Linked DNA regions of Mytilus edulis. The protein of the gene in region 4 purifies or fractionates together with the protein of the main gene of each other region. This does not show direct contact. Links are inferred from orthologs where the notes say so. Each region holds a gene or a part of one and is shown on either strand. Other genes may lie near its edges.

Region 1 (7,086 bases), on a different chromosome or scaffold from region 4:
TTTATATCATTTGGTTGAGACAAACCAAAGTTAAAGAATGGAAACGAACTTTGGGACATGCAGACAGGCGGACATACATACAGAGACAAGGGTAAAACATTATGCCTGTAGCTGAGGGGAAATAATAATCTATTGGTAAGACAAAACCATTAAACTTTAAAAAATTCCTTTCAACTTGTAATTGGAAATAAAATCAGTCTGACCAGAGTTATTTTAATTAACTTTCCACACAATTTTTAACGCTTTAAATTTTGAATGTACAAACCTATAGATAGTATAAATAGCTAAAACAGCATTTCTCCTGACATAAGAGTGCCTGTGTTCTAAACACTGTCTGATTGCTGGCATCAGTGGTTCCAATAATTCGGCTTCCTTCAGTTTACATAAAAATCTCAATGTTGATCCTCTTATAAATTCATTTGGATGTTGAAGATCCTGAAAAAGAAGCAATTGGAATTATATTTGATATATCGTTACATAGGTATAAACCTATACTTTTAGTTTCATTTTGAAGAATGAATAATTCCAAAAACATGCGTGTTTAATTGTACCATCCTTACTCAAAAAAATAGATACATTATTCAGTGAAATTCTCAATAAGATACAAACAATAATATATGTACAGTGATTTATAATTTACATGTAGATCTTACTTGCATCTTTGTAGAAAGAAATAGTGTTGTTGCTAAATATCTAATTTATTTTCAATTTAACATTTCCCATCAATGCAGATGCAAATGATCTCTCCAAGGCTTTATTGCTCCTTGGTACCATGACACTATATTAGGAAGAACACTTTAAGTTAAAGCCCTAGAAAAAAACATACCTTTCTGTATGCATCACAAACAAGAATAAACTCGTGTAACATTTTGCCATCAGGGTTATATTTTGGAACAATTTCCCAGAAAATTAACAGCATTTTCTTGATGGTATGGTCTCTCACAGGCATGACAAATCTAATAATAGTCATCAATAATGATGGCATCTTCTCTCCATTCAGTATCATCTGTATCGTCTTCTTCAGAGCTTCAATCTTTGTTTTTGTATCTCCCTTTTCTAATAAAAAAAAAAATATCATTCAATATATATTGTACAATGTACTACAACTTTTGAAAAGTGAAATTTTACAATTTAATTTCAATCAGTTTCTTTTCATGCCTTTAAATACAACTGTATATACTGTGATCAATAAATTAAAACTAAAACATGAAACATGAATGATTTGGAGAGCATATAATAACCAGCAAATGATAAGCTACATGTAGCCATCAAAAATTAATTAAACCATGATATCAAAAGTTTGCTGAATGTGAATCACTCCAATACATGTACATCTTTTGTTTAAAAGTTTTTACGTCCTCATGTAGTTTGTTGTGTGTCATTTAAGATAGACTGCAAGATACATGTACATGTATTCAGCCTTAATGAACAATGCTGGCAAACCATTTCTTGTTGTTTATATTGTTTGTATACATGTACATATGAAGCATGTACATGTATGTAGAATTAACAATTGTGTAGATTCAGAAAAAAAGTTCCATGCTTGTATATTTGGTTGCAAAAAACATTACATAAAAAAAATTGACTTTCTAGATTGAGAACAGGTAAAACATCCACATTGCATTTCACTGGTGTTTTATATCAATATATATATTGCCATACCTAGATCTGATTTGAGTCCCATCTCTGTTGGAGGCTCTGCATCTGATGGTATATTTATCAGAGTATAACATGGCTGCTCAGCCAAGGTAGACATCTTTTTATTCTGAAAATAAAGTCAAATGGGCATTTTACATTTGTAGGTGTACATGTATCTATAAAATTTAAAATCTTTAGATAACAGCTCTAGAATAAGTTCATACAAGAGATTTTTTCCCCATTTACATGTGTGTATTATATGATCAGTGTTTTAACAAGTATCTCAGGATTTTTTTTATGGTATTGGAAGTTAATTTGGAACCAGTAAAGATGAAGACAGAAGACCAAATCTTTTATATAATAATTGAACAATATTTCTATAGATTAACAAAATCCTATGTTTTAAATCTGTTTTTTTGTTGTTGTTGCCATTTTGGAATGGTAAAAAAAAAAAGTGCAATTAGTTGCTTGTAAGCAGTCACCACATCACAAAGCTTGAAGGTTCAACAAAAAATACTAAACAAGTACTGCAACCAATGATCTAGAAATACTATTTTAGGGAAGATAATGACTGAACGCTTGTGTACTTTTACAAAATATAACTGGCTTTAAAATATGTCCATAACTACTTGTACAATAAAGTAATCAATAGCAATATACATGATATATGGGAAAGTTAAAAAAAAAATACATTGCACAATAACTTAAAGAGGCATAATTTACCTGGTACTCTAGGCCAATATATACATGTATTATTATATGTTTATGTTTAACTGAAAAATCTAATTTCCTACAACCATTAAAGTACCTGTTGACACACATGGTGATTCAATTATCATTCTTGTGACTTTCTCATGTATATATCTTGTATATATATAATTCATGATATGATAGTGACTTAGTCAGTATTTGGTGAAATATGATTTTGAGCAACACTTCTGTTTTAATGAGCTGAAGTCATTGTAAAGGTAGATCATTAAAAAATCAGGACAAAAAATAATTATGAATCATCTAATTTACAAGTACATTACCCCTTCCCCCCCTTTTTCTCTAATAAAAAAAATCTAGCAAGGAGTGCTTAATGAATCACCTTGTGTGTAAGGTATAATTTTGCATGAACAGATGCCTTGTACTATCCTCATTTGTAAAACTTTACATTGTCATACATTTTACACTTCTTCAAAACTTTAACTTTCTGATAAGATATTGTTTCTATTTGATATTGAAAAGTAACAAACTGTTCATGCAAAACAAACACAATAACTTGTTCTTACCGTCATCCTGATATGTTTGTATCTTATAATAAGTTTTTTCAAATATAAAATTGTGTAAATACAATATAAACAGTGATAAAGTGATTAATATGCATTTAACATGACTCATGAGTACATTGACACAATCTATTAGTTTTACAATGTGTAAGACTAAGAGTGCAAAACATTTATATTTAATATAAATGCAACTGGATGTCCTGCATGGTTTTTCTTCTGCCCCATAACAAAATTTCAACTTTTTAATTGTAGCAGCATAATAGTCCATTTGCCAATTACCAATTTGATTCTATTATTACACACTTTTTAAACAAACTACTTCCATGACTTCCCTTTGTCAATCGTAGACTGGTTCCATACCAGACAAAATTGGCTTTTGCCAATGCAAAGCATGATGAATTGGAAGGGATGTATCGGCGGTTAAACTAAATTTTCATGAAAAATAATTGCTGATGTCAAAAGTATTTAGCTAAACAACAAATTAATGTAATTAAAAGATTTAAAAACCTTACAGATTACTCACATTACGCACAGGTAAATTTGCTCTTACTGTGAGCTCTCCATTGTAAATAAAAATTAATGTCCCTCATAAAGGGAGACCAAAAAAATAAAGGTCTCTTATAACAGGGTCAATTACGGGAATTGGCGAACAGCCTATTGTCAATTGAAATAAATATCATTAATTCAATACATGCAACAGATTATTTTATTGATTTATTGTTACATGTATTGACTTGTATTACCTCCCTTAGTAGACCTTACTCAATGTGTCATGTACATCATTTGTACATGTATGATTATTGATAGGTTCTTTCCTCATTGTTCCTTGTATGATATCTACGCCTCTCATTTATTATTAAATATGACTTCCTAGCGATCACATGTGTAAGTTTTCTCTGGCTTCTAGCATGGGATCAATTCAATGTAAAGGAAAATCTATTGATAAATAGTCAATAACACAACTGATACCTGCTCCCAGCTTTAACTACTAAAACAAGAACTAAACTAAGTATTGAGGGCCTGATGACGGTAGAAAAATCAATTAAAAAGAAAAATTAATCAAAGGTTTTCATTCTTCCATGTCAGCTAAGTAATGAACTCAAAATCATTAACTTTTTATTTTTCAGACTTATTTTTTCCCATTTGCACAGACATCTCTTTCTTTCTTCTGGTCTTGTATGTCATGAGACTTGTTCTGTAAAATTGTTGTTTTTGATCATTCTTTGTCTTAGATACGAAAAAACGTAACATCATCAGGATAGCGTTTCTTTGTTTTCATTAAAAATGATGTCACAATTTTTAAAATCCCTAACAACAGGACCAACATCGGAAACGTTTCAGTATTTTAGTTTCTTTTTTTAACAGATTTTAAATTATAAGTATTTGACTATTAAAAAATAATGTACACAGAATTCTTCCCCTTTCACTGGTAAATTTATTATGTTGGACTATAATACTATTAGTGTTTCTGATTGAAAGGACATAACGAACAAATTATAAGCAGGATATTGTACCAAATTCAAAACTGTAATTGTAGGTTTATGTTAGAATTAATCAGCAATTAATGGATATCAACATAAACCAATAAAGCTGAAGTTTTTGAATCCTATCAAGATAACTTGTCTTCTTGTCTCCGTATGAGCCTCCTTTAAATAGGAGCACCACCATAGTTATGGCGTATAAAGGAGGACATTTGGAGCCTGTATCGGTACAGATTAATGTGAGCATTGTGACAACTTCCACTAAACAGATAACAAATGTTGGAAAGAAAACATATTGAGAATGTGATCAAAATGTTCCTTCACTTTTGTGTCCAGTATACGTGGAAGTTCTAAATTACAAATTCAACGTAAAGATATATTATTTGATACTTGTTAATAGTAGGTGTTTAACAAACCTTTGAATCTTCCAGCAAATGAAATTCTGGTCGCCGACAGGAAGTGCTTAACGTGGCCGGAAGTTACGTTCGGCCTCCGTTAGATACTTGGGATCTCATGTCATACGTCAGAGATAAAATTCAGTAGATTACCGAAAAGAATGTAACTGACAAAAACGGGCGATATTTACTAAACTCTTCAATAAGGAGGTATATAATTGTTAATAGACAGACGAAGTTCAGACAGCATGTCAAAATTAGGAGACAGAGACATATTTATATCATAGATACAAGCTAATACAGGTAATTAACACTTACCCCAAACCTACACAAAAAAGATGATAATAATACACCTTACTTTTGATATTCATAACAGAAAAAACAAACCTTTACAAATTAAATTTAGATCTATCATGATCATCTGAGACTACTGTACCGTACTAGTTTACACTAAAACGGGAAAATTATTATCATATGAAAAGGGCAGAGTGTTTAGTCATGTGTAATTGAAAAACTTGAGTGAAGAATGTAAAAGAAAGTATATTTTTGAAAATCATTATAAGATAAGATAAGATAACTTTTTTAGTACAAGTTTACAATGACTTAGGCATTGACAATAAATGGTTATGACAACAAATTAAAGACAAACTACAATGCTTTCAAGTCGATCAGTCCCCACATCGATATGGCCCAACGTCAGGCCCAATAAAAAATATATTTATAAGGAATAAAAATAAAGATATTAATTGTAACTCGTAAAGTTAATGAATTTATTATAATGTAAAAGGTGTATGTTAAAAAAAAATGTTTCACTACAAGTTTTTTAGATTATTGGGTATAATTATATTAAAAAAAAATATAACAAAATTTAGGACAATCAACAGACATCAACATTAATCAGCAGTTTTAAATTATCAATTTCTTTCAATTGATGTGATCTTAATTTAACAAGTCTTTCATCCTGTGTAATAACAAATAGTTACATACACAACGGTACAAGCCGATCCCCAAGCTGATACATACAAATTTTTTTTTGTGTGAAGTTCTTAGACAAGTGTTATAGAAGCCTCTGATGTTACCTGAAAAAAAAATACAATCACAACCATTTTCGTATCGACTTAAAATATTTCATCTTTCTGGTACTCCAAATATATTCAAACTTACCTGTTGTCATCCATTATTGATACTTTTTACAAATTCGATTTATACTAATTAAAAGTCTTTATAGTTTATTCCTTATAAATTATTATTGGGCCGGATCGACTTGAGCCGGGTCGACGTGGGCCGGATTGACTTGGGGGTGGATTGACTTGGGGCCGAATTTACCTGAGGCTGAATGGGTTTGGGGACGGAACGACTGGATACCACTACAATAACATATATACAACGAAGAAGTGACAGTGGATAATTATGGGAAAATTATATAAAAGAGAAGCATATAAATCATTACAGAAATCAAGTACCTTTTAATAATGAGTTTGTCACCAACTAGCATTCATTTTAACAAGTTATATGATAAAGAAGGTAATATGTTGTTCAATAGACTTTTTTTTTAATGAGGTTAATTTATTATCTCTCACGTTGTTAGTTATAGAATGAACATTTTAAAAGGAAGTGTAGTTCATCTCCAATGTCTCCACTGTTGCAGGAAAGACATATACTCTACTCTGCTTTGGTATTTTTAGATATCGCCCGCTTTCAATAGATAAAGTATGAGCACTAAACCTTAATTTACATAATGTTGATCTATCAGATTTGGATTTATATTGATCAACATACGAGGGTCTTTTATTTGGTTTATATAGTATATTAAAAAAAGTATAATTTTGTATTTTGATTGGGGAAGGCTATATCATTGGTTCTCTCAATTATATATATGCTAAGGACTTCATAGCTCAAAACAATTTTACATTTGGTATTGCCTTTTTTTATTATGGCTCAACTATACAGGTAGGATTTGCTAATGAGATTTTGCATGTTTGGGGTGCACAATATGTAGGTGTGCTTATTACATCTTTGTCAAATTTTAAGTTTCTTCTTATTAAAAATCGTAAATCTTATAAATCATAAATTTTGTGAAACTTATTTTGTGGTAGAATTACAATGGAAATTTACATACACATGTATGATACAGTCTATTCCTAAATGACGCATTTGTAAAATTGGCTTGTAAAAAAAAATTTGGTGGAAAAAATGGATTTATTATCTGGCAGGCCTCTTTTTAAAATTGAAACAAGCTTAAGTAAGCAAATTGAAGATTCTTGGTTTTTGATATAAATTGTTAGCTAACTATTCTTTTCC
Region 2 (7,123 bases), on a different chromosome or scaffold from region 4:
ACAAATAAACACATATACAAAAAAATATTTTAGTGTCGAAATTTTAGTGAGGCAATTGCCTCACTTGCCTCAATGGTAGTTACGGCCTTGTGATGTACTGAAAATTCCACATCTCGAGTGAGAATCGAACTCGGGACCTTCAGTACTGTAGCCATCGGTCTTAACCACTAGACTTTTAAATTTTATTTAAGTTTCAATGTAGATTATTATACCTTACATTATAAACAATTATGTGATTGACTAATACAGAACCATGAGTCATAGTTTAATTTTGATGTTTATCCAAAAATTGACAGAAACGATGAATAACCCCAACAATTTGAAACCTTTTCTTGCAATAAAGAATAATGGTCCGAGACCACAATTGTCGTCCCTTGATTTTCGTTGTTCACAAATATAGTCCCTAGTGTTGACAGTGGGTTACTTGCCATTAATTTTTATCATGTTTATACCCCTTCCAAATTTATTTCTCCATGTTTTAATGCCTCATATTGCAAGTAGGGGGGTGAAATTACACTGTAAACAACATGAACAAATTTGGGTCCAGAATTTTAAAGGAAAGTAGTGATTTGGTCCAGGTGAAAAAGGTTGAAAAATAGCACTTCGGAAGCTGTCAAAAGATCATTTCAAGACGCCCTAAAGATAAAATTGTCCATATTTTGAGTTAGAGGCGATGAAGTTTTCTATAATTTTGATATAATTTGTCCCAAAAGTAGTACAACACACTGTAAAAGTTTCTTTGAGAAAGCGCAGGTGGGATTTTTTAAATTTTCATTTATGTTGTAAAAGAAATGCACTACGAAATAATTGTGGTCTCGGACCTAATGGATACTCATATAACATGTTTTTTTTTATCTACCCACAACTATTCAAAATATTGTCAACTTGCAGAAAAATATATATTGCCAGATATATTCCACAGTACAAAAAAAAACAAAAAAAAACCCAAGTGTTATAGAAGCCTCTGATGTTAAATGAAAAAAAAAAATACAATTAATTATTATTATATACACCAAACAAAAGATCAAACTATAAAGACCTTGTTGATTACGTAACTTTAATTAATCAGGATTTGATTGAATTAAGTGATTACGAGTGGCATCACCTTAGTTCACAATCATCAGACAGTTGTTGAATAAACAAACCAGTTATAGACCCATCGAAACAACATCTGATAAACAAATTTAATAATACTTTTAGATATTTGGATGATATTTTGGCTCTCAATAATGACGACTTCAGTATGTATATTAATGAAATTTATCCTGTTGAACTTACTTTAAATAAAGCTAATACTAACAATGACCACAGCCCTTTTCTCGATCTTCATGATCTTGATATCTATATCACTAATGGAAAGCTGAATACTAAAATTTATGATAAAAGGGATGATTTTTCATTTCCTATCGTTAATTATCCGTTTTTAGATGGTGACGTTCCCTTGTCACCATCTTACGGTGTTTTTATATCTCAACTTGTACGATTCGCTCGTGTATGTAACAATGTTTTAGATTTTAATGAGAGAAATTTATGTATTACTGAAAAATTATTACACCAGGGTTTTCGATATCACAAACTAGTCAAAACATTTACTAAATTTTATCATCGGTATAAAGACATCATTCGTAAATATAGCTCAACATGCAGACTTCTAATACGTTCAGGTATTTCACATCCAATTTTTTATGGTAATATTCTTTATAAAGCACAAAGGTGTCAGTATTCACCTCAGAAACTTACAAAACCTTTGAATAGACTTATTAAGAAGGGATATAATTACGATACTGTTGTCAAGTCATTAAAGATTGCATATGTTGGCGTTAATATTGAGTCACTGATAAGGTCTTTGCATCGGAACTAAACACATTTATTCTAAAAACAGTTGTTGGCATGACACGGGTTATGTTCTTCTCATATATGTTATGATGGTATGATACTAAACCCCTAACGGGAAGGATTGTGCCTGATGTTCATATGATGAAATCATAATCTTTCAGTCAGTTTAATTAAAGTCTGGAGCTGGCATGTCAGTTAACTGCTAGTAGTCTGTTGTTATTTATGTATTATTGTCATTTTGTTTATTGTCTTTGGTTACATCTTCTGACATCAGACTCGGACTTCTCTTGAACTGAATTTTAATGTGCGTATTGTTATACGTTTACTTTTCTACATTGGTTAGAGGTATAGGGGAAGGGTTGAGATCTCACAAACATGTTTAACCCCGCCGCATTTTTGCGCCTGTCCCAAGTCAGGAGCCTCTGGCCTTTGTTAGTCTTGTATTATTTTAATTTTAGTTTCTTGTGTACAATTTGGAAATTAGTATGGCGTTCATTATCACTAGACTAGTATATTTGTTTAGGGGCCAGCTGAAGGACACCTCCGGGTGCAGGAATTTCTCGCTACATTGAAGACCTGTTGGTGACCCTCTGCTGTTGTTTTTTATTTGGTCGGGTTGTTGTCTCTTTGACACATTCCCCATTTCCATTCTCAATTTTATAGACTAATGATTTGAAGTCATTATGATGTGAAATTTTAAAGGTTCCATTGGACTGTAAATATTTATTTAGCTATTCTGTGTGTGATCTAAATAAAATAAAAATCAAATTCCATTTAAAAATTTATACTATTAAAATTTGTCACAAATTCCTCCAAAAACAATATAGTTTATTCATATTTTATTAAGGGGCCGGATCGACATGGGACCGGATCGACGTGGGCCGGATCGACTTGGGGCCGAATCGGTTTGGGACCGGAACGACCGGATACCTCTGAATGACAGTCATGACGGTTTGATGCCGACTTGACTTGTCTGAAGATCATGACTTATTGACTGTATTTTCGAAAAGCAATTTTCCCGGTTTTTATGAGCTCTATGATATTTTACAATTAATGCATAGGTTGACATTCGTTTTCTTTAACGACTAACAAATACATACAGAGTTAATGAATCGTGGACAGACATTGTCACTGGTGTGATCGCCGATCGCCTGACGTGACAGTTATGTGTTATCTCCCCTTGGTTTAAAAGCTAAATTAATGAAAAATAATTAATCCTTGTTTCAGCAAATTTTCGAAATAAAATTTCTAGTTGTGTATGATTCAAGGATAAGTGTTATTAGCAGTAATTTAATACTTGCTTTTTCGTTACCTCACTTGACTAAATTTATCAAAAAAGTTATATATTTTCGATAAAAAAACGTCTCCGGTGCTGCAATACATAATTTGTATATGACATCATAATTTTAGATTAAGTTCCGGCAAGACCCTCTTTTATAAATATAGAACATAGTGACATACATCTTAGTATAGACATACACAATGTTCTGGTATTTGGCTTTTTGTTCCCTTCCATTTGTTCTTGGATCTTATAGTTCCAAGTGTAAGTTTTCAAAATAGTAACACATTTCTAAAGTTTGTAGTAAACATTGAGTAAAAAATATGTGTAAGGGGGTCTTATTTGGGGGGAGGGGGGGGGGGGGGGGTGTTCTTATCCCCCCTCTAAATATAATCTTTAGAGTTAGCTAGGATATACATATATGGGCTATTTCAAAAAAAATGATGCCTTTCCTTTAAACCTTTGTCAGTCTCTTGTATGATACTATATCTGTAATGTTTTTAGGTCAGATAATGTATTATGATTAGTTGGTCCTAACTACCAAAGATAATAGCAGTATGTGCTCTGTTTAAAAAATATTGTCCAAAATTGTACCTCAAAATGTCAGGAGTGTAACGCTTTTAGTGTGACATTTAGAAGAAAGCATGTGCATTCATTGATGATATAGAATAAATAAGGGCAGATACAATACCAAACAATATCTTTCATCCAACTATTATATCTTTACTATGATTTCTTGTTTAATTCTTCCATATATTTACATTTTTATGTGCCTCATAAGGTAAGTCAAATAAGTTTGTGTTTAAAAAAAAATGTTAGTAAAAGTCAATATGCTGCCAGAAAATGTCTTTGTAGGTGAAATAACATGTTTCTGTACATCTTGCACGGTTTATTCTTTTAGGTAAGTATCATAGCTTGGCACAGGTGCATCCAGTTGACCCTGAAGTTCTACTACTGGAATATTATGGTTACAATAAGAGGACTACCCAGGTCTGTCAGGAGTGTAACAACTGGGTTAAGATGTATTTTTTTTAGAAACAATGTTGTTATAGTTGTTGTTTTTTCTTGTTTTTCAGTGAACATTACCTGTTACAGTTTATCAGTAACAAACATGCCATTATTATGACCTTCATTGCTTTTGTATGCTCAATACTTCAATGTCAGGAGTGTAACACAAAAAAATGCCTTATTTCAATCTTATTAGCAAAGGTAAGTTATTGGAAGAAAAACAAGCTGACAATTATTATAAAATGACATTACTACACCTCAGCTTAACACAGAATACAAGTCTACATCATTACTTTTGAAATTTTTGAACTAAAATTGCAATTGAACTAGCTTGTTTAAGTGTGTTACAGTCCTGACATACAAGTATTGAGCATAAACAAGCAATAAAGGCCATAATAATGGCATGTTTGTTACTGAAAATATGCAACAGATGGTGTTCACACTCAAATTCCAGAAAGGAAAACCAATAATAACAACATTGTTTCTATAAAAAATAACATGAATGTTACACTTAAACATTTTAAAGCGTTACACTCCTGACATTTTTGGGTACATTTTTGGACAATTTTTAATATACAGAGCACATACTGCTACCATCTTTGGAAGAACGAACAAACTTATCATAATACATTATCTGACATAAAAACAGCATATATATAGTATCAAACAAGAGACTGAACAAGGTTTAAAGGAAAGCCATCTTTTTTTTTAAATAGACAATTAGCAAAATTTGTAAATATGTAAGAAGTATATAATTTTCTTTAACCTGTTCTTAATTTGCACTAAAATAATATGTGAAATATAAAGACTCTACATGATTTCAGGTCAGTTTCAGGTTAAAATATGGTAGAAATAAATTATGGTCAGGAGTGTAACATTTGTTACACTCCTGACAAGTTTCTGATGTAGCTTATCTATAACAAAATTCAACATGATTCTTTATTAAAATAATTGTAACATCTTTACAATGTTATGAGAAAGCTGATCTGTCTTGTAAAAGTGATTTTTCTGCACACTATTCACCAAAGATTCTTAAAAATTAAAGTGTAATTCTCATTAAACATGTTAAAAGTTTGCTCTTTGCTCAGAAATTAAAAAAATATGTAATCAAATATCTAATAAATTTATTTATTTGTGAGATTGTAAATTTAAAATAGATATCATTACTGATTTTCTAAACATTCCATTAAAAAACAGTCTTACAGTTACTGAAAAAATATGTCAGGAGTGTAACAAAAGGATAACAAACACATGTTTGTATTTTTTAAATGAAGAAAACTTAGAATTGACTGAAGCAATTGTTGTGAAATTTTCAGAGGATGTAATTAGATCATATATGTTTGCTTCCTTATACTTTTTATATAAAATTAAAGCTTTTGCAAAGAGATATAAAAACTTTTGAAATAAGATATTAAAGAATACACTAAAAATTGGTGAAATTTACATATTTAAAAAAAAAAAACTGTTTATAAGTAAAAAAAAATTGCAGGAAAATCATTTAGAACCTTTATTGCAACAAACAAAAAAATTACATTGATATTTAGATTCTTATTTATGTTTGTCAGTTGATATTATTATTATGTTGTTTCCTTTGAAAAGTGGATGAATTCTTATGAGTAAAATGTTGTTAAAATTTTTGTTTTTATTATTTTGCATTAACCCTTGGTAGTTTTGTAAACTTGAATGTCTCTGGATTAAAGAAAAATGATAGAAAAAAGATTAGCAATGACTTAATTTTTTACCATGTTTGTCACACTTTGGCATCATTTTTTTTGAAATAGCCCATATATGTAACAGCCAAAAAATATGATAACCTTTCAAGATGTCATATTAATTTGGACGAGCAAATAACATAAAATTGAGAATGGAAATGGGGAATGTGCCAAAGAGACAACAACCCGACCATAGAGGGTACTTATAAAGTGAGAAACGGAATCGAAACGAAACGAAACGAAATATAACGAAACGAAACGAATTACAACGAAACGCAACGAAATACAACGAAACAAAACGAAATATAACGAAACGAAACGAAATGAAAAAATGAAGAAACGAAATACAACGAAATGAATCTGACCCTTATGTTATGCAATTGTGTGGTGCTGTTGATGTAGTTATCATTGTTACAACCACGCTAAAACAGTATGTAAGATGAAAAGAAAAACTCCTTTGATCTCTTAATTGAGGATTGTAAATTAATTTATTGTTTATTGAAAGACTGCATACTTTTCTACAACCCCGTGTGGACGTGCTACCCGTTCTGACGTACAATATAACACTTTGATGTTCCAAAAATACTTTTTAAAGGCATTGTCTTTCATCCTGTCGGCTCCCTTTATCATGCCTGAGTTTATATATGGGTAAGTTGTGAGCGTGAGAAAAAAAATCAAAGGTCTTTGAAGTTTTCTAAAACGCATTCAGCACCAGATGTTGCACGGGCTCCAGCCAGGTATATATAAAAGGAATATTTTTTATTCAACCGTTATTACGCAAAATGGAGCCCAATGAGAAGGAAAAGAAAATGTAAGTACCCTTATACATGTACATTTTAAAATTTATTTCGACAGTGTTAGTAGTTAAGGAAACAGAACTTAAAAACATTTTGATGTTGAGTCATTGCAATTTTTAGTAGCTAACCAGCTGATATCTGATATCTTTATAGACCATAATGGCAAAATATTTCAATACATGTTTACCCCGCCACAGTATGCATGTATGTGTATATGTATGTGCCTGTCCCAAGTCAGGAGCCTGTAATTCAGTGGTTGCCGTTTGTTGCTGTGTTACATATTTGTTTTTTTTTTTCGTTAATTTTTTGTACATTAATTAGGCCGTTAGTTTTCTCGTTTGAATGGTTTTACATTTGTCATTTCGGGGCATTTTATAGCTGACTACGCGGTACGGGCTTTGCTCATTGTTGAAGACCGTCCAATATAGGAACGAACTATATTATAAAAAGCCGTTGAAAAAAATCTTTTGGCCTTTATATCAGAAACGGAG
Region 3 (7,808 bases), on a different chromosome or scaffold from region 4:
AAGGTGTATTGGTTAATGAGAAAAATGGCTCAAATAAAAAACCATGAATCTCTTTTGATTAAGTTAGATTTGTCACTTCGGTGACTTGAATGTCTGATATCTGTGAGAATTTATGTCTTACAATATATAGTTAATTTATTTTTTTGAATTCTCAAATGGATTGACCAATTCACCTCAATTGTATAGGTTAAACTGCCACCGTTCAAAAGCGATGAAAATTCTAGATCGAGGACAGAATTCAAGATACACGAGATAGTAGGTTTTCCTATAAAACCGTGTCAATTAGAGGTATATATTTTCTTAAAATAACTTCAAAAATGTCTTTGTCTGCAGCTGTTTTCATGTTTCAATTTAACTTCCGGTGTTTTTTCGGAACATTTCTAGATCTTCTTTTCTGAATCAAATTTTGTTAAAAGTCTTTCAGTGAACATAATTTATAAAGTCATTCCATAATTCATCTCTAAATTAAGTTTATTGTTATTGCTTTTCATTCTTACAAAATTTAATTTAAAAATACGAAAATAAATATGAGTAATGACCATACAAAAAGATATTGCTATAGATCACAAGAAGACCCCGATTTAATATAGAATAATCGATTTTTTTTGATTTTTTTTTATACAATAAATTATCCATATATGTGTAAATAGAATTTGATAAGTATTATGTATACCATTTTATAAGGATCTATTCTTGTCAAAGTTATAGAACTGAAACTATCTAACAAACGGTCTCAATGAATCGATGACAACTCGCCCCACTACTGGGCAATCGCCTCGTATCAAATCGCCCCACTCTTTCCCCAACTCGCCCCACTCTTGGTGACAACTCGCCCTTTCTGATGAAAAAGTGTAAATCCCATTGATCATAGGTCTACAAACTCGCCTCACTTATGAAAAGGGTTAAAATCCCGCTGAATAAAGTACTCGCCCCACTTATGGAATTTTTTTTTAAACCATGATGAATTTTATAGTCATGCCAACTCATCCCACTTGTCAGGGACAGTTTATACTTAGTTAGCATAGACTGTTCCTGCACGTATGAAACATGATGCAATCCTGTTGCCAACTCGACCCACTTATGAAAAGGAGTTGTATTCCATTGATTTAAGGTGGTATGGGTGTCTTTCGCTATCTTGGATTGTAAAAAAACAGAGAATCTAAGGTCTAGATTTTCAATCAAGTTAGCAAAATTTGATGCAGGAATGCAGTTAACAAATATGAATTTGCATTTCAAAGAACAAATTTATAAGCTTATAACTTATAAATTTTAATATTTTTACAAGTATAAATGAATTCAGTTTGATTAGTTTTTTTTTTTTTAAATTGGCATTTTAAGGGGAGATAACTCTGAAATAGTGCTTTTTCGGATGGAATCTACATGGAATTTTGCTATTTTGAATTCTAGCCGGGAAAAAAACACACGGTGACCCTATCTTTTCTTTTGATATTCTAAAAGCATTTTCTAAAAGATATCTTCTCGAATTTTATTTCACAATGCTAACATTTAGTTTAGCTTCAAATCACATAATGATGATTTATTCTGTATAATCCATACAAAAGGTGTCATTTTGTCATAACCTGTAGCTTGAGAAAATGTGCGGTGATCTATCATTTTTGTTATCGGGAGAAAGGAAGAAAGACCAATCACAATTTGTTATATATTTGTTTTTCTCTTTTTTAATTACATAAAAAAAATAACCCTTTCAAATATAGAGTTCATAAGATACAAATATTCCCTGTGGACCCCCCCCCCCCCCCCCCCTTTTATTTGTGCTCTGTATTTTCAACCCTCGAATTAAGCTTTCGAATCTAATTAAAATTAAAACCTTGCTTTCTAACCAATCTATTCATGTACCGGACCGGCAACTTTCTTTATTTAATACGAAAATCTACAGTGCCGTTATACACATGCATGTTGTTTGCTTGGAGTCTCCGCCCGAAAAGAAAGAAATAGTCTAACTCCAAGATATAATATTTCTGCATCACGTGATTTTTACCATGTGGAGCTTACATTTGAATAAATACCGAATATGGAAAGTGAAACTACAATTCAAAACATAAAGTCGGAAGGCACAAATAAGAAAAAGAAAGGATTTTTTTGGCAAAAGGTGCAGGTAAATTCTCTCCGTGTTCAAAATATACATGAAATATTTGCCACTGCCCCTTTTCTGTTCTATGAATTCTAACCTATCTGTTACTCCATGCCAAGAAATCCTCGCTAAAAATTCCGGTCGACCCCCTACGGCAGTCATTAGTAGCTAAAGATTTGATTTCATTGAAGAAATTAATTTATGACCTTCATGTACGTGTTGCTTAGAACACAGCTATATACCAAATGGTCAATATTAATCATCCATGTAATTTGCCCTATGGAGTGTTTGCAGAATTTCAACGGAGGCAATTTCTTGGCATGATTTTTGAACATATATCAATAGACACTACGTTTTGACAAAGTATGAACAAATTCTATCATTTTTAATTTAGACTCCCATACCACTTTTAATGAAGCCAACTCGACCCACCGTACGAATAAAACAATTAAACTGTACAGAATTGAGGCCTACCTAGTTGCCCCAATTATGAATTAAATGAATATTTATGAATAATGTAGAAATGCATCTCGGTTATTGTAAGGTAGATGGAGTGTCTAAATTATAATCCACTAGAACACACCCGTGATATCACGGGTCCGTGACTGAATTAAAGTATATAACTATGTGCAAGCCTTATTTTAGTATTAGTATTGTCATCTGATAAAGTCATACCGATTATAAGATACACATGCAGTTTTTCTCTGCTTTCAAGTCTTTCTGTTTGAACCCGTCGAACTGAAACAATAATATTAATTATTTGGAAAACAAAAGGTCCTGGAATGAAGTATTCTTTAATCAATAGCATTGTCCTATATAAGTTATAAATAAAGGTTGAATTCTTTGCTTCGCTGTTTTACGTCATGCCCACTAACAAATTGAAAACTGTACCTATACGCCTTATTTTTAGTCCAGATTTTTAGTATTCGTATTGTTATCTTAAAAAGTCTTACTGATTAAAATACTACAATAGGTAACAATTTGACAATTTAGTAGTGTCAACCCTGTGGTTATGACCCGTGTATATAGCATATTAATCCTGAATACAACGTTTGGTGGTGCGCCTGTCAAATGCGGAACGTACAGATAAGGTAATAGGTAACAGGTGAATATACTATTGATATCGGTAGCGGACTCGACCCGGAACTTCTTAATTATTGGCAATATTAATTACGTGGAAAACAAAAGGGCCTGGAGTGGTGTAATTTTTAATCTACACCTTTGTACAATATAAGTTATATATAAAGTTGAATTCTGTGATTCGTCGTTTTTACGTGATGAAGGCTGACAAATTGGACCTCGTAATTTTAGTATTATAGATAGATTTTTTTTGATAATTTGCCAAAATGTAGTTTATATTCTGCTTGTTTAAAAACCTTCATAAAAATAATGGGTCACGGCACTTATTTTCATACTACAGGTTGTGCAAAATTGGCAGATTTTGTATAGATTATGATGGAAAACCCAATTTTCCGCCATAAAACCAAAACTACACCATATAATTTTGAGATAAAATATGAGAACATAGCTCCAATATTATGCTTTCAGATAAGAAAAAGAAAAAACAGGCGGTCACCGGACTCATTTTTTTGCTACATACTAAAATGGGTAAATTCCTAACACAGTCTATTGTAAAAGTAACATTATTTGAATTATCTGCCCTTGCATTTGAGTTGCCTTCCCTTATTTGGCAAAGTTGGGGAAAAAAATGAATCAAACAAAAGTATTCGTGTTTTTGTAAAATACAACCATAAAGATGATTAAAACATGGTATTTTTCTGTATCATAATGAACATTCTTACACATGAATTACCTACTACTCTCAAAATTTGCACATTTTATCAAAGATCTAGACCTTGATTCCTGGTATTTCAAATTCCAAGATGGAGGATACACCTTATCTACCTTAAACTCTTTAGGTTGGAAGAGAGCAGACATGAGTAAGTATCAGCATTTCTGGAACGTACAATGTTATTGACTATAGGAACTGTTTATGATTTTTTTCCTGGTAAATATAGGGTCTGGAAAGGGGGGGTCTGTTATTCTGTAAACCTTTAATTTTCACCCCTTTTTTCTCTAATCATTAAAAAATTAATCCCTTTTTTCTCTAATCTTCATAAAATTAACCCCTTTTTTCTCTAATCTTCATTTTTTATGCCCGTTATTCTCTAATCTTCATTTTTTAAGGGAATTATTCTTTAATCATTTAACCCCATCCAAACCCTCATATTATCACTGTTTTACATATTTACAAGTCAAGAATCATCATGATAAAATATCATCATGTATTTTTACACATTTTTTTCTCAGATGAAAGTTTTGCACAATAAATCAATTATGACAAACACTGTCATGATTACACCAATGATTTGTATCGTTCTTACTATACAAATCTTTGATTACACAAAAAGAAGTACTAGATAAAATGTCAACACTAGAAACAAGAACATAGATACACAAATATGGTATACAACAGATAAGTTTTCATAAAAGTGAGGCTGAGTTGGCAGACATTAATCATGTTATTATATGGATTTTACACATTTTGATAAATGCAGTGAGTAAGCAGAAGTAAATTTAACGGGATTTAACCTCATTTTGAAAGTGGGGCGAGTTGGTGCAAAAGTGGAGCGAGTTGAGTTGTATTACTTCCATCTCATTGGTCCGTTGTTGTTGATTATTTCCTAGACATTTTTATGTTGTATTAGGCTATACCTGCGCATCTGAATCCGGCGATTTTCTTTTAAAAATATAATCCTCTATTTAACACCTAATTTTATAACAATTTTGTGCTTTATAAACTAAGATTTAACGTTGTAAGATTTCAAACATAGAACTCATTGCAAAATCTTATCCATTATTATTTGTTCAGAAACTACAATTTTTGGGATAAAGCGCAAGGTTACAACTTGAAATTGACGTGGCCGAAAAACCGTCAGCAGATACGTTCATTACTTCAATATTTGTCAACACTAGTATTCAAAACAGCTTTCGTTCAACATGGTAGGACATTCACTAAGTTTCTATAACATTGTCAGACATTCTTATTGCTCTCAACAATGAATATTTTACTCGCTAGAGCCTGATCAAACCCAAACCACTTACCGGCATCCTTCATATTTTTTCTCCACAACAACAAACCGAACCTCATTTTTGCTTTATTATACTGTAAACATATTGCATAACGTAATGTATCTATAATTGGATTCTATCACTAGCAATATGGAATGAGCACAGATTCGTAAAACATGTAAAAAATACTGGGATATCAAAAAGTTTTCAAAATTGAAGCCAATGAAGGACATAACGTCATAAGATACATGTACTGTTGGACATGTAACTATAAAGGAAGAATAAAAACTAGTAGTAGTAAACAAAAGAATGCACCACTATTGTATACCTTTGTCAATTTTGTATGATCTGTACCAATCATATTCATTAGTGTCATTCCTTAGGCTTAAGGATTATGTACCCTTGTGTTGATTTAATGCCACACATATGGAAATTTTATAGAAAACGCACAGCCTTTCCCTTTGTACTCTCATGTTTGGTAATTCTATGGTTGATAGATAGAGAATTATTGCATGCAGTGCTATCAAGAATTTCCTTAAAACAAGTTTATAGGTTAGATATTGGTTAAAACAAATATAGATATCCACCATATCAAGTACACCTTCTACGGTGCACTTGACTTTAGTGACTCAACACAAGGTGTTTTGGAATTTAAAGGTTGTTTAGGACATCATAGAAAAACAAGTGAGTAATCTATGGTCAAAATTTTATTACATTAATCTCTGTATTGAAGTCTGTGGATTTTCTACAAAAATCTTGGTTTTATTTTCACCAAATCCTCTTTTTCTACTAAATGCAACTAAACTTAAAATGATAAGGCTTTGCACAAGTTTCCCCTTGGTATATGTACAAATTGCATATCTCTATTAATAATTATCTTTGCTGTTTTGATACTATTGAAACTATTGCAGTTTGAAAATTTCGTAATTCTCAGGACACAGAAGGGTTCATAAACCTTAAGAATGTAAGAATACCCATGAATTTATTGGACAATCAACTATATTTTTCTTTCTTTTATCTAGGTGCTGCTTGCTGCAGCTGTATGTAACAAGTCTGGAAAAGGTTGGTTTATTTTTTATAATTCTTAATTAATTAAGACACCAAAATGTTTATATCTGTATATTTTACAAGAGAATTGAGATAAAGCATAAAGCATAAAAGATTTATTTAAAGTCGGTTATACATATAACAATACAACATAAGCTCTGTAGAGCTTTTATCCGACATACATATAAGACAAGCACAATACATAAAACACATAAAACATGCAAAATAAATAATGTTATCAAGCACAACAATTAATTAGCACAATTAAAGCATATAAGCAAACATAAAATGCAGATAAACTAACATTCATGCAATAGCAATTATAAAGCACTAAAAGTAATTCAAGCATTAAGAACACAAATAAAAAAATTATGCCAAATAATTTAAAAGCCAGAGTATACATGATAAATAAATAAACTGATCTACAGCTCATTGAGATCTGCAGGAGGAACACTGACACGAACTGCCCTCCCAATTACCAACCAAACTTTTAAACTGAGAAATTTAATACTTGTTTTTATTGAATTTTACTATCATTTAAATTATAAAAAAAAAGGTAAAAGGTAAGTGCTATCATTTTAATTATTAAATTAATTGATTAACTACATTTATATAATATATATTATTACATCTCATACAAGTTTCATACAATTACATAATTTAAATGAATTTTCAAGATTGTAGCCTGACATCGTTATTGTAATACATGTAAGAATTTAATGCTTCGTCTCTTTGATAAATAATGTGCTGTACACCCTGATGTAATTACAAAATGAAGAATGAAATTAATACTTATAAGACTTTTTCAGCGTTAATTTCCCGTCAATTTGTGGAAATGACGAGGTCAAGAATAGAAGGCTTGCTTGCAGCTTTTCCTAAGTTGATGAGTTCAGGAAAACAACATACTTTTGTTGAAACAGAAAGTGTGAGATATGTGTATCAGCCTCTAGAAAAACTTTATGTTCTATTGATAACAACAAAAGCTAGCAACATACTAGAAGATCTGGAAACATTACGTCTGTTTGCACGTGTGGTAAGTTTGAAAAAAACTTTATGATCTATCAATAACAACAATCGCTAACAACATACATGTTCCTGAAGATCTTGGAACATTTGTCTGTTTGAACATGTGGTAAATTAGAAAACTTTATGTTCTATAAATAGCTATCAACATACTAGAATATCTTAATAAAGTGTCGTTTGGCAGGGCAAGTAACTTAATAAAGAAAAAAACTTCTTTCAATAAGTATCACTCACACAAAAAGATGTTGTGTGTGGGGGGGGGGGGGGGATAATACTTTTCATGTGATAGATTTGCTTGGATTACACCTTATTATTTTAAGGAGCATTTTTGATGGCATTGCAAAGATCTAGATAAATAGCAGAATTGAATATTTGTTAACAACTTGACATGCGTTAAAAAGTTAACTAAATGCATAACAAATATCTATTTTTATTTTTTTATTTTCTTCAGATACCAGAATACTGCAGAAATATGGAGGAGGCTGAGATTGGAGATCAGGCATTTTCTCTTATCTTTGCTTTTGATGAAATCGTAGCTCTAGGTTATAGAGAAAATGTAAATCTTGCTCAAATC
Region 4 (8,013 bases):
GTAATTTTCGACAATTACTCTGTAACTTTGTCACAGCGCGCTTTGTTTGTTATTTATTTGTTATGTGTTTTCTTATATTATGCTATTGATGCTTTCTCTTGTAATGCTGTCCTCATCATGCTCATGAAAGTTACCCCTTTGTTTGTTAATGTTATTGTCTGGGTATAGAAGAAGAGTCTTTTTTCTCCATTGTAAATTCATATAATCCTCATACATGTCATATTATCTGTGTATAAAACCCAAGAAGAAATCTTTTTCCATGATGGGTCTATACCAGACTGCCTATGTGAAGATTTCTTAGCACTAACAGGTGCAGAACATGTATTTTTTTTATCTAGGACCAACAATAAAGGTCATTGTCAGCTTCTGTGTTTGGTTTTGCAACCCACTGTAGCAGTATACTGTTAACTTTACGACGTTTGACAGGAATTGACATTTTTTAGCATAATGATTTCTCATTTTTCTGACCTGAACGTTTTATAATATTCAAATGGCTTCATCCAAGCTGAACATCGAGAAAGTGAATTTCTCAAGTGTAGTATCAGTTTAGTGTTTGTTTCTAATCATATTCCTTTCAATTGTTTTCAAATGGTAAAATTCATTACTGTAGAAGTGCTTACTAAACGATTATTAGTTCGAATAGGTGATAATTTATACTTCAAAGACTTGCTCATTTTCGGGGTATGTATGGATAGTAAACCTGGCAAAAATTTGTAACAAACCCCTGTGTTTGATCGTTTTTAAAATCATGGTTTGTTCAAATTTCGTAAAAACAAGTTTGTAAGTGTCGTCAGGAAATGCGGTCAATTTATTTCATCTCATTTCATTCATATATGCCTCTATATATTCTTTTAATAAAAAAAATATATGTCAATGTTGAAATCTCTGTTTATTTTGATCTTTCAAAATTGCCATTTTGTAAAATTTATTAGACTGGTTCCGCGGAGTTACTTAATACAACAGAAATAATTCATTCAGAAATAGTAAACCAGACGATCACGTGATCTGAAGTGAAAAATAAGCGGGAAATTTGAAAAAATTACGAATAAATTATAGCGACGCGCTTGCGTTGGATAGCGGGATTAATGGATTTACCTTAACAAAAAAAAAACCAATCAGGCATTCTGTGTTCCATTTATGATGCAATTGTTGATACTGCAAAGGTCTACTTTAATAAGCAGTTTGTATTGTTATAAGAATATATTATCAGTTTGAATCAGCTTAGGTTTTACTGTTTTATAGTTTTCTATAATCATGATAATAAGCAATTATATCTTGTAATAAAATTATTATTCATTAGGCCAAAAAAAATATATGTCTGTTTACGGTTACCCGACCAACCTTTATTTCAGCGCCAACTCTGAGCCATTTTATTTCCGTTGTAAAGTGAAAAATTAATAGAACTTGTGTCAAAAGCAAAGTAAGGGTTGCCAATAAATTTAATCAATTGCCTGATACATCCCAATGTTCACAATTTTGAATATGACAGCTGTTTTAATGAAACTCGCAACTCATGAAATGAAAAAAAAAAACATCACTGCCATTTTTTTTCAACCAATAACCAAGGGAAATAATCCAATCATTAAAAATACGGGTAAACTCGGGCCATGGACAACTCGGACGACGGCAAGACACACTGCGCAACTTAAAATCATGGCAAATAATAAAATGAAAATGCTGACCTTCCTACCCTATTTATTTTAATGATGTAAGTACTAACCTTAAACAGATATGTTTTATCATGATTATGAGTGTCATAATGATATGATGATTCATGAGGTAGGGGAATTGGGATTGGAATACATCTTATCGCAAATTAAGTAAAATCCGGAAAAAAGTCATTTATAAAACTTCCTGTTTGGGTCAGGCCGCTGAAAATAGAGGTCATCAGTAGTGAGCTGAGGGAGGAAAAACTTTAGAAAGCGATCATCAAGAAACTTTGATAAAGTATGATCCACTTTTTCGAAATTAAAATTGAAGTAAAAAATATTTTGTTTGAAGTATTTATGGTAGTTAAAACAGGTTTCATTAAAAAGTATCATGCATGGTGAATTGTTTAAACAGGGTCCCAGATAGCATCAACCCGATGAAAAAGTTGTGTAATTTTAGAACTGATCCAGAATGGAATAAATAGCAATCAGGTGTATGCTCCGCTTTATTAGTAGTCCAAGATTACTCTGACGTCCAACGGCTGCTTTGCCAGACAAGCTGGGGCTGTGAAAAATGAACAAATTGATACATGATTTATATAATTTCTAGGCCGATTGTCGGCACCAGAAGTGACGAAGCAGCGCATCTATTTTGGACGGGCAAATATCCACTTTTTGGATATGGGACAAGCTCTGACATCTCACAGCCCCAGCTTGTCTGGCAAAACAGCCATATGTCAGAGTAATCTCGGACTACTGTATTAGTAGATACATGTCAGCCGTTGGTGGTTGAGCTAGGGATGTACAGTATGTTCGTCTTAAGCTTAGTCGGTAAAAATGCTGATTAGTAACACGGAGGTCCTGGTTTCAAGCCACTGATGAGACAAGCATTTTAGTAATGAAAATCATGCTCTCTTGTTATCATGGTTAGAACCCACAAAATTTATGCAACTCCTCAGTCAGATTGAGGAATGACAGTCATTTGTTTTACCAAAATAAGAATGGTTGGTTGGACAGGGATTTGGTTGGAAGTAAGGAATAAAGCTATGAACTCAGAACCTAAACATGATCTTTTTATGCAATGTGTATCCTACGAGGCTACGTTGCCTGTTGAAACGAACAAAAAATATGGTGAAAATGGGGATTGCTATGGCAGATAATGCCAGTAACCATTCTTTTTCCACAAATACGATTGGAGTGATGAAAGTACCTTTAGTTTAGGTGCCTCATTTATACATAGCTGATAATTTCCAGTATAAAATGCAGTTCTTATTTCGAAAAGTTCATCAACATCGGTGTTTGACATGTTTGCAACGATGATGTGGAAGTCGGAAATGAGAATATCTTGGTCTTTCCAGCGCTTTTTAAATAATTTAACTAATAACCAAATATTAATCTAGTTATACACTAAACTACAACGTTCTTAATTTCTCGTCCGGCTTTTATCGTATTATGAAATTGTGTGACTGTCATGTTATAATACTTATTTTTGCATGGAGCTTCTAGAATATGTTACTTTTTTCAAGCTGAAGTATATATAAGTTTAAGAAATTGAGACAAAATATCTGTTGATACGGTTGACGATCATAACAATTAATCAGAAGTTGAGAACTGGGAACAGTATGTTCTTGTGTATTTTAGTCTAGATGCCAACTTATTAACTATCGAGATGACCTAAAAGACTTTCACATAATCCGATATAAACATAAAGGTAAATATAAATAGATAGCGACCTTGTGCAAATGGATTTCTTCTAGGTCTGTTTGATTTCACGTATCATCACGATATGTAAAAAATAAGTTAATTATCGTTTTTATCTTTTATGAGACAGATTATTTGCTAATCGAATCAGTCAACGAAGTGAACATCTTTGTTTAACTTTTAATGTTGACATTCTTTCTATTTTAATGGCAAAACACGATTTATACTACTTTCGTTACCAATCTCGTTCTACATGTAATTGGATAAATTGGATGGCATGCACATCAATACAGAGTCAGTGAGGTCTAATTATTGACTTGCAAGTGAATAATTCACCATTTTGTGTGCGTGTGTTTATTTTGACAAATTTGAACCAAATTGGCTACTAAAAACGAGTTATTATTTCATCATTTCAGTTCACTTTCATTAAAGTGATTGAACCAAACAAAATCCTATTCTATTTCCCCCCCCCCATAACTTTTAGCTACAGTGGAGTGCGGGACCCCTCCCCCTTCCACAGTAGTGCCATATGATTAGTTTAAAGACAATAACAATCAAAACCAAGGAGTAAACAAAGACTCACAAAACCAAATGACATTTACATCAACAGTTATAAATAATGATTAAGAAACAACACGAACTCCACTAAAAACAGGGAGTGAAATCATGTGCTCCGGAAGGGTTACAGCAATTCCTGCACCGTATACGGCACCCGTCGTGTTATTTCTTTGTTCAGTTCGGTAATGATGGAAGGTTATTATGACTGAGGAAGAATATCAGATATGATTTCTGACACACTTTTGTCATAATGGCCTATCAGCTCATGATGGCGACCATAAAATTTCTTGAGTGATGACCTTAATTTGATTGATTCATAGCCCTGTCTTCACTGAGTATTCCTCGTTCAACAAAATCAACGTACTTTGAGCTATCTCTAGAGTAACGTATCAATTGAGACACATATACTCCATATGCTGGTGCCGCTGGGATGTTGCTACAAAGAAATGGAAACGACAGTATAGGAAAATTAAAATTTGATAAAATAAATAAATAAACAAATTGTCAATATGACAGAAACTAAAAGTAAGTTTATTTAGTTTTAGTCTAGACTAATTTGGCTGTTTAAAGTGATCCAAAATAATAATATTAAAAAGGGAAAGTCAAGTCACTCTGAGATTTATGTCTTATGTCTTATGTCTTATTTAAAACACAAAATCTGGTATTCCATTTGAATTTTCAACATATATTTTTTTTTTATTTTTTTAAATACTGAATGTAAACTCACACTTGATTTCAGTTATTCGTCAATAATGATTTTTATTCTTGGAATATCCGGAATATATAGAGTACTTTCTGACAGACTCTGGAAATAATTACACCGTGTTGCAAATATCGATGTCATTTTTATGTCAACTACGGTAAACAGGCCGTAAATACCGCACTGTTCCGGCATTGATTTATGTTTAGTCAACATTGTTTATTTCCGAAAATATCAAGTTGCGAAAACAAGACGATTTCACCACTGATTCACCAGAGAACCATGTCGCTTTACTGAAAAGCATCCATATTCTAGAAAAAAAAGTCAACATAAAATTTAAAATGAAATATGCCAAGATGAAAAATGCAAAAGATCAATGCCTGAATGTATGAACTTAGTAGTATATAATTTTTCTATGCTGCTACATGTATTGTAATATGAGGCAGGCATTACCTGTAAATGGGGACGAAGTCTGTATGAATTATTTTTTTGTAACTTAAATATTTGTTAAAAAAAAAAGAAACGGAAAACCGTAACGTTTCCGATTTTGGTTCTGTTGTTAGGGATTTTAGTTGTGACGTTATTTAAATTATGACGTCATATGCAATGTAAACAAAGAAATGCTATCATCGGGTAACGTTTTTTCATATCAAGGAATTATTAAAAATGAAATTGGTATTGCGCGTTCCTTCCTATTTTATACTGATAAATATATATTTTACTCAAAGTTTCATACAAACGAGACCGGAAAAAGGAAGTACATTGTACATTTCTGCGCATGTCCGGGATTTCAAAACATGACATAAAAAAAATTGAACGATTTTGAGTTCATTAGTACAATGAAAAATTCAGGAAATTTTCCAAAATTTTTTTTTTATTGAATTTTCTACTGTTAAACTCATTTTGGTAAATAGTGTCTTATAAATATGCATTCCAGGTTAGTTTAGTTTAATTTAGTTTAAGGTTCCACTAAAGTCAAAATATAGGACACTTCATCAACATCTAAACTTTGTCTGTAGTTTTCAACCTATAATGAATAAAGTGAAAAAATATGGGAACAAACGTTCATTTAAACATACTTAACATATACACACTGTGAAAATTGTAAATAAACTTAAAATTTTATGTTGTGGCCAAACTAGTTTTCAGTCCCTGAAATTTTCATCCGGAACGGGAATCGAACCAGGAACCTTTGTGTTAGTAGTCTGATGCACTACACCACGGCTCTTATATCGCTGTCGAGCTTGGCTATAATATTTATTTACTCTACATACATGTATGAATGGCCTATTTATACTTTTAATTTGGCTAACAGCAATTAAGCAATTAACTAAAATAACACAAAAAGACACTTTAACATCACTACTAAAAGGGCAATTCACTTATTAAGTAGATGAAGTAGGATGCAACATGTACAAAATGTATGCTAAAAGGAAAATATGTCCCTTTTTTTCTTAAAATCACCTATTTTAATCTTTAGAAATTGAAGGTTTGAGTGTAGAAATTTATTTATTTCTTCCATGCATACACCAATTTTGACATAGGAAATAAAAGTCTGTCATTATAAATCTTGCTGAATTTATTTAGGTGATTCCAAGTTGTAAACCTTGAGCTATCTTCCTGTTAAAAGGGGAAAATGAGTCAACCTAAACCAATGAAGTTACCGACTGCAAGGATGCCCCCAGTGAAGGCCATGCTTGAGAAAGGTATCCCAGGGTTGACATCACTTGATTCTATTATAGCAGACCTGGATCAACAGTTAGAGGCAAAGAATAAACAGTAAGCCAATAAAACTCTGACATGCTTGTAATTTATTTTAGTGGAAAATTAACACACAACTCTTTTCTTACAGCAATTTGTTATGGGGTTGGTGGGTATAAAACAAAGAGGCAGTAACCAAAATAATATAAAAAATAAAACTAAAAGAACCATTTTTTCTTTTACAAACTATTTGGTATGCCATTAACAAAAAAGTTGTTTTGACTGATATGTTTATTAACCTGCTGAATAACATTGAAATGAAGTTAAAAGTATGCGCACCTTGTTAAAAGAAATCTTTCTGATTACAGAGACTAATCTATGAAACTGGTATAAGAAATTATAAATAAATAAATTTTTTTTGTGATTTTATTTCATAAAATTTAAATCTGTTGATTATGTGCTGTCAGACAAGTTGTAATGTAATTTTTCAGGCCTTTACAATTTTTTTTTCAAAGTGAAATTAATATCTATCAAGCACACAATTTTAGCAATATTGTGTATTTAAGGATAATTTTCTATTTATCGCTATCCTGAAATAATTTATTCCTATACATTGCTAAACACAGTATAGCTATGAAAAGCATAATTTTTCAATTTAAAATTTTCACATCATACCTGCAGGCAGGATTGACAAATCTGAAACAAATGGGAGACAACTCAAATTTCATGAAAAGATGGGAGTGTTTTGAGAATGACAACTTGCATATGATAGCATATATATAACAGCTGATACTAAATTACTGTTTGAAACTATAGATAGAATCTGAAAAATTCTGCTACATTTCAATATGAAGTTAAGGAAATTTATAAAAAAAAAAGTAAAAATAAATTTAATTCAAATTTTTTTATTTTTGTCATTACATGTAAATATATCATTTATATCATAGTTTTAATTAAGTTAATGTCCATCATTTCAAACTAAAATCAATGAATGTATTTTATTTTATAAACAGAATGGCAGATTGCCTGAAAGGTATCGTGAAGACATGTAATGAAATGCCAGGCAACAAACAGTCAGACAACCCTAAAGATTGTATTACCTACATGTTAGATTCACACTTACTGGAGAAAGATTCTTGTTATGATCCTGAGGCAGATGATATCAATACTATCTTAAGTCATGTGGTATGTATGCTATAGATGTTTTCGGGGGTGTGCAACACATAACCAAATGTTTTTTTTTTGTGAAAAAAGGATACAACACTTTTGCTGTCCAATTAAAATATAGATCCTATGCAATACAGTGAAAACACTGAGTTTTACGTCCTGTTCTAATGTCTTGTATACATCTGAAGTAAATAAAAAGAAAAAAGAAAATAACTAAAAAGTGCAAAATGTTTTTATATTTTCAACTTTTACATATATCTATTATTTTAAATCTATGGCATACATGTACCTATGATATACTTATAGATTGATTTTCTCGCTTGAGCCGGGACGGCAAAAGCGAGAAATGCAATCGAGTTTAGATGACCAAAGATAATCTGTTTATCGCTATTTTACCTATGACGACGTTGTCAATTTCGTTAGCAACGCCACATGCCTCCTTAGTTTTTAGCGATAATTTTCCATCTCAAGCAAGTAGCATGATATGAAAAATTATCACAAAAAAAGATCAAATGAAAAATGCACAAAATAGCGATA

Evidence for each region.
Region 1: the proteins of coatomer subunit epsilon-like (region 4) and coatomer subunit beta-like purify together in Homo sapiens (affinity purification with mass spectrometry; 6 studies listed by BioGRID and IntAct, with this or other methods). This does not show direct contact. The link is inferred for Mytilus edulis from reciprocal best matches to the Homo sapiens genes COPE and COPB1.
Region 2: the proteins of coatomer subunit epsilon-like (region 4) and phosphatidylinositol-3-phosphatase SAC1-like purify together in Homo sapiens (affinity purification with mass spectrometry; 4 studies listed by BioGRID and IntAct, with this or other methods). This does not show direct contact. The link is inferred for Mytilus edulis from reciprocal best matches to the Homo sapiens genes COPE and SACM1L.
Region 3: the proteins of coatomer subunit epsilon-like (region 4) and coatomer subunit delta-like purify together in Homo sapiens (affinity purification with mass spectrometry; 4 studies listed by BioGRID and IntAct, with this or other methods). This does not show direct contact. The link is inferred for Mytilus edulis from reciprocal best matches to the Homo sapiens genes COPE and ARCN1.

Annotation. Positions count from the first base shown.
Region 1 is NC_092353.1:31,909,448-31,916,533, reverse strand, and holds the start of coatomer subunit beta-like, read right to left. Parts: upstream 3,013-7,086; 5' UTR 2,919-3,012; coding exon 2,913-2,918; intron 1,815-2,912; exon of another isoform or gene 1,766-1,814; coding exon 1,663-1,765; intron 1,057-1,662; coding exon 827-1,056; intron 436-826; coding exon 266-435; intron 1-265. UniProt on the Homo sapiens protein: The coatomer is a cytosolic protein complex that binds to dilysine motifs and reversibly associates with Golgi non-clathrin-coated vesicles, which further mediate biosynthetic protein transport from the ER, via the Golgi up to the trans Golgi network.
Region 2 is NC_092348.1:14,407,255-14,414,377, forward strand, and holds the start of phosphatidylinositol-3-phosphatase SAC1-like, read right to left. Parts: upstream 3,018-7,123; 5' UTR 2,963-3,017; coding exon 2,937-2,962; intron 1-2,936. Other genes in the region: uncharacterized protein, read left to right, coding at 3,319-3,379.
Region 3 is NC_092348.1:7,122,602-7,130,409, forward strand, and holds the start of coatomer subunit delta-like, read left to right. Parts: upstream 1-4,803; 5' UTR 4,804-5,092; coding exon 5,093-5,095; intron 5,096-6,186; coding exon 6,187-6,226; intron 6,227-7,020; coding exon 7,021-7,244; intron 7,245-7,685; coding exon 7,686-7,808. UniProt on the Homo sapiens protein: Component of the coatomer, a cytosolic protein complex that binds to dilysine motifs and reversibly associates with Golgi non-clathrin-coated vesicles, which further mediate biosynthetic protein transport from the ER, via the Golgi up to the trans Golgi network.
Region 4 is NC_092347.1:37,415,338-37,423,350, forward strand, and holds the start of coatomer subunit epsilon-like, read right to left. Parts: upstream 3,010-8,013; 5' UTR 2,956-3,009; coding exon 2,860-2,955; intron 1-2,859. Other genes in the region: uncharacterized protein KIAA0825-like, read left to right, coding at 6,245-6,387, 7,323-7,494. UniProt on the Homo sapiens protein: The coatomer is a cytosolic protein complex that binds to dilysine motifs and reversibly associates with Golgi non-clathrin-coated vesicles, which further mediate biosynthetic protein transport from the ER, via the Golgi up to the trans Golgi network.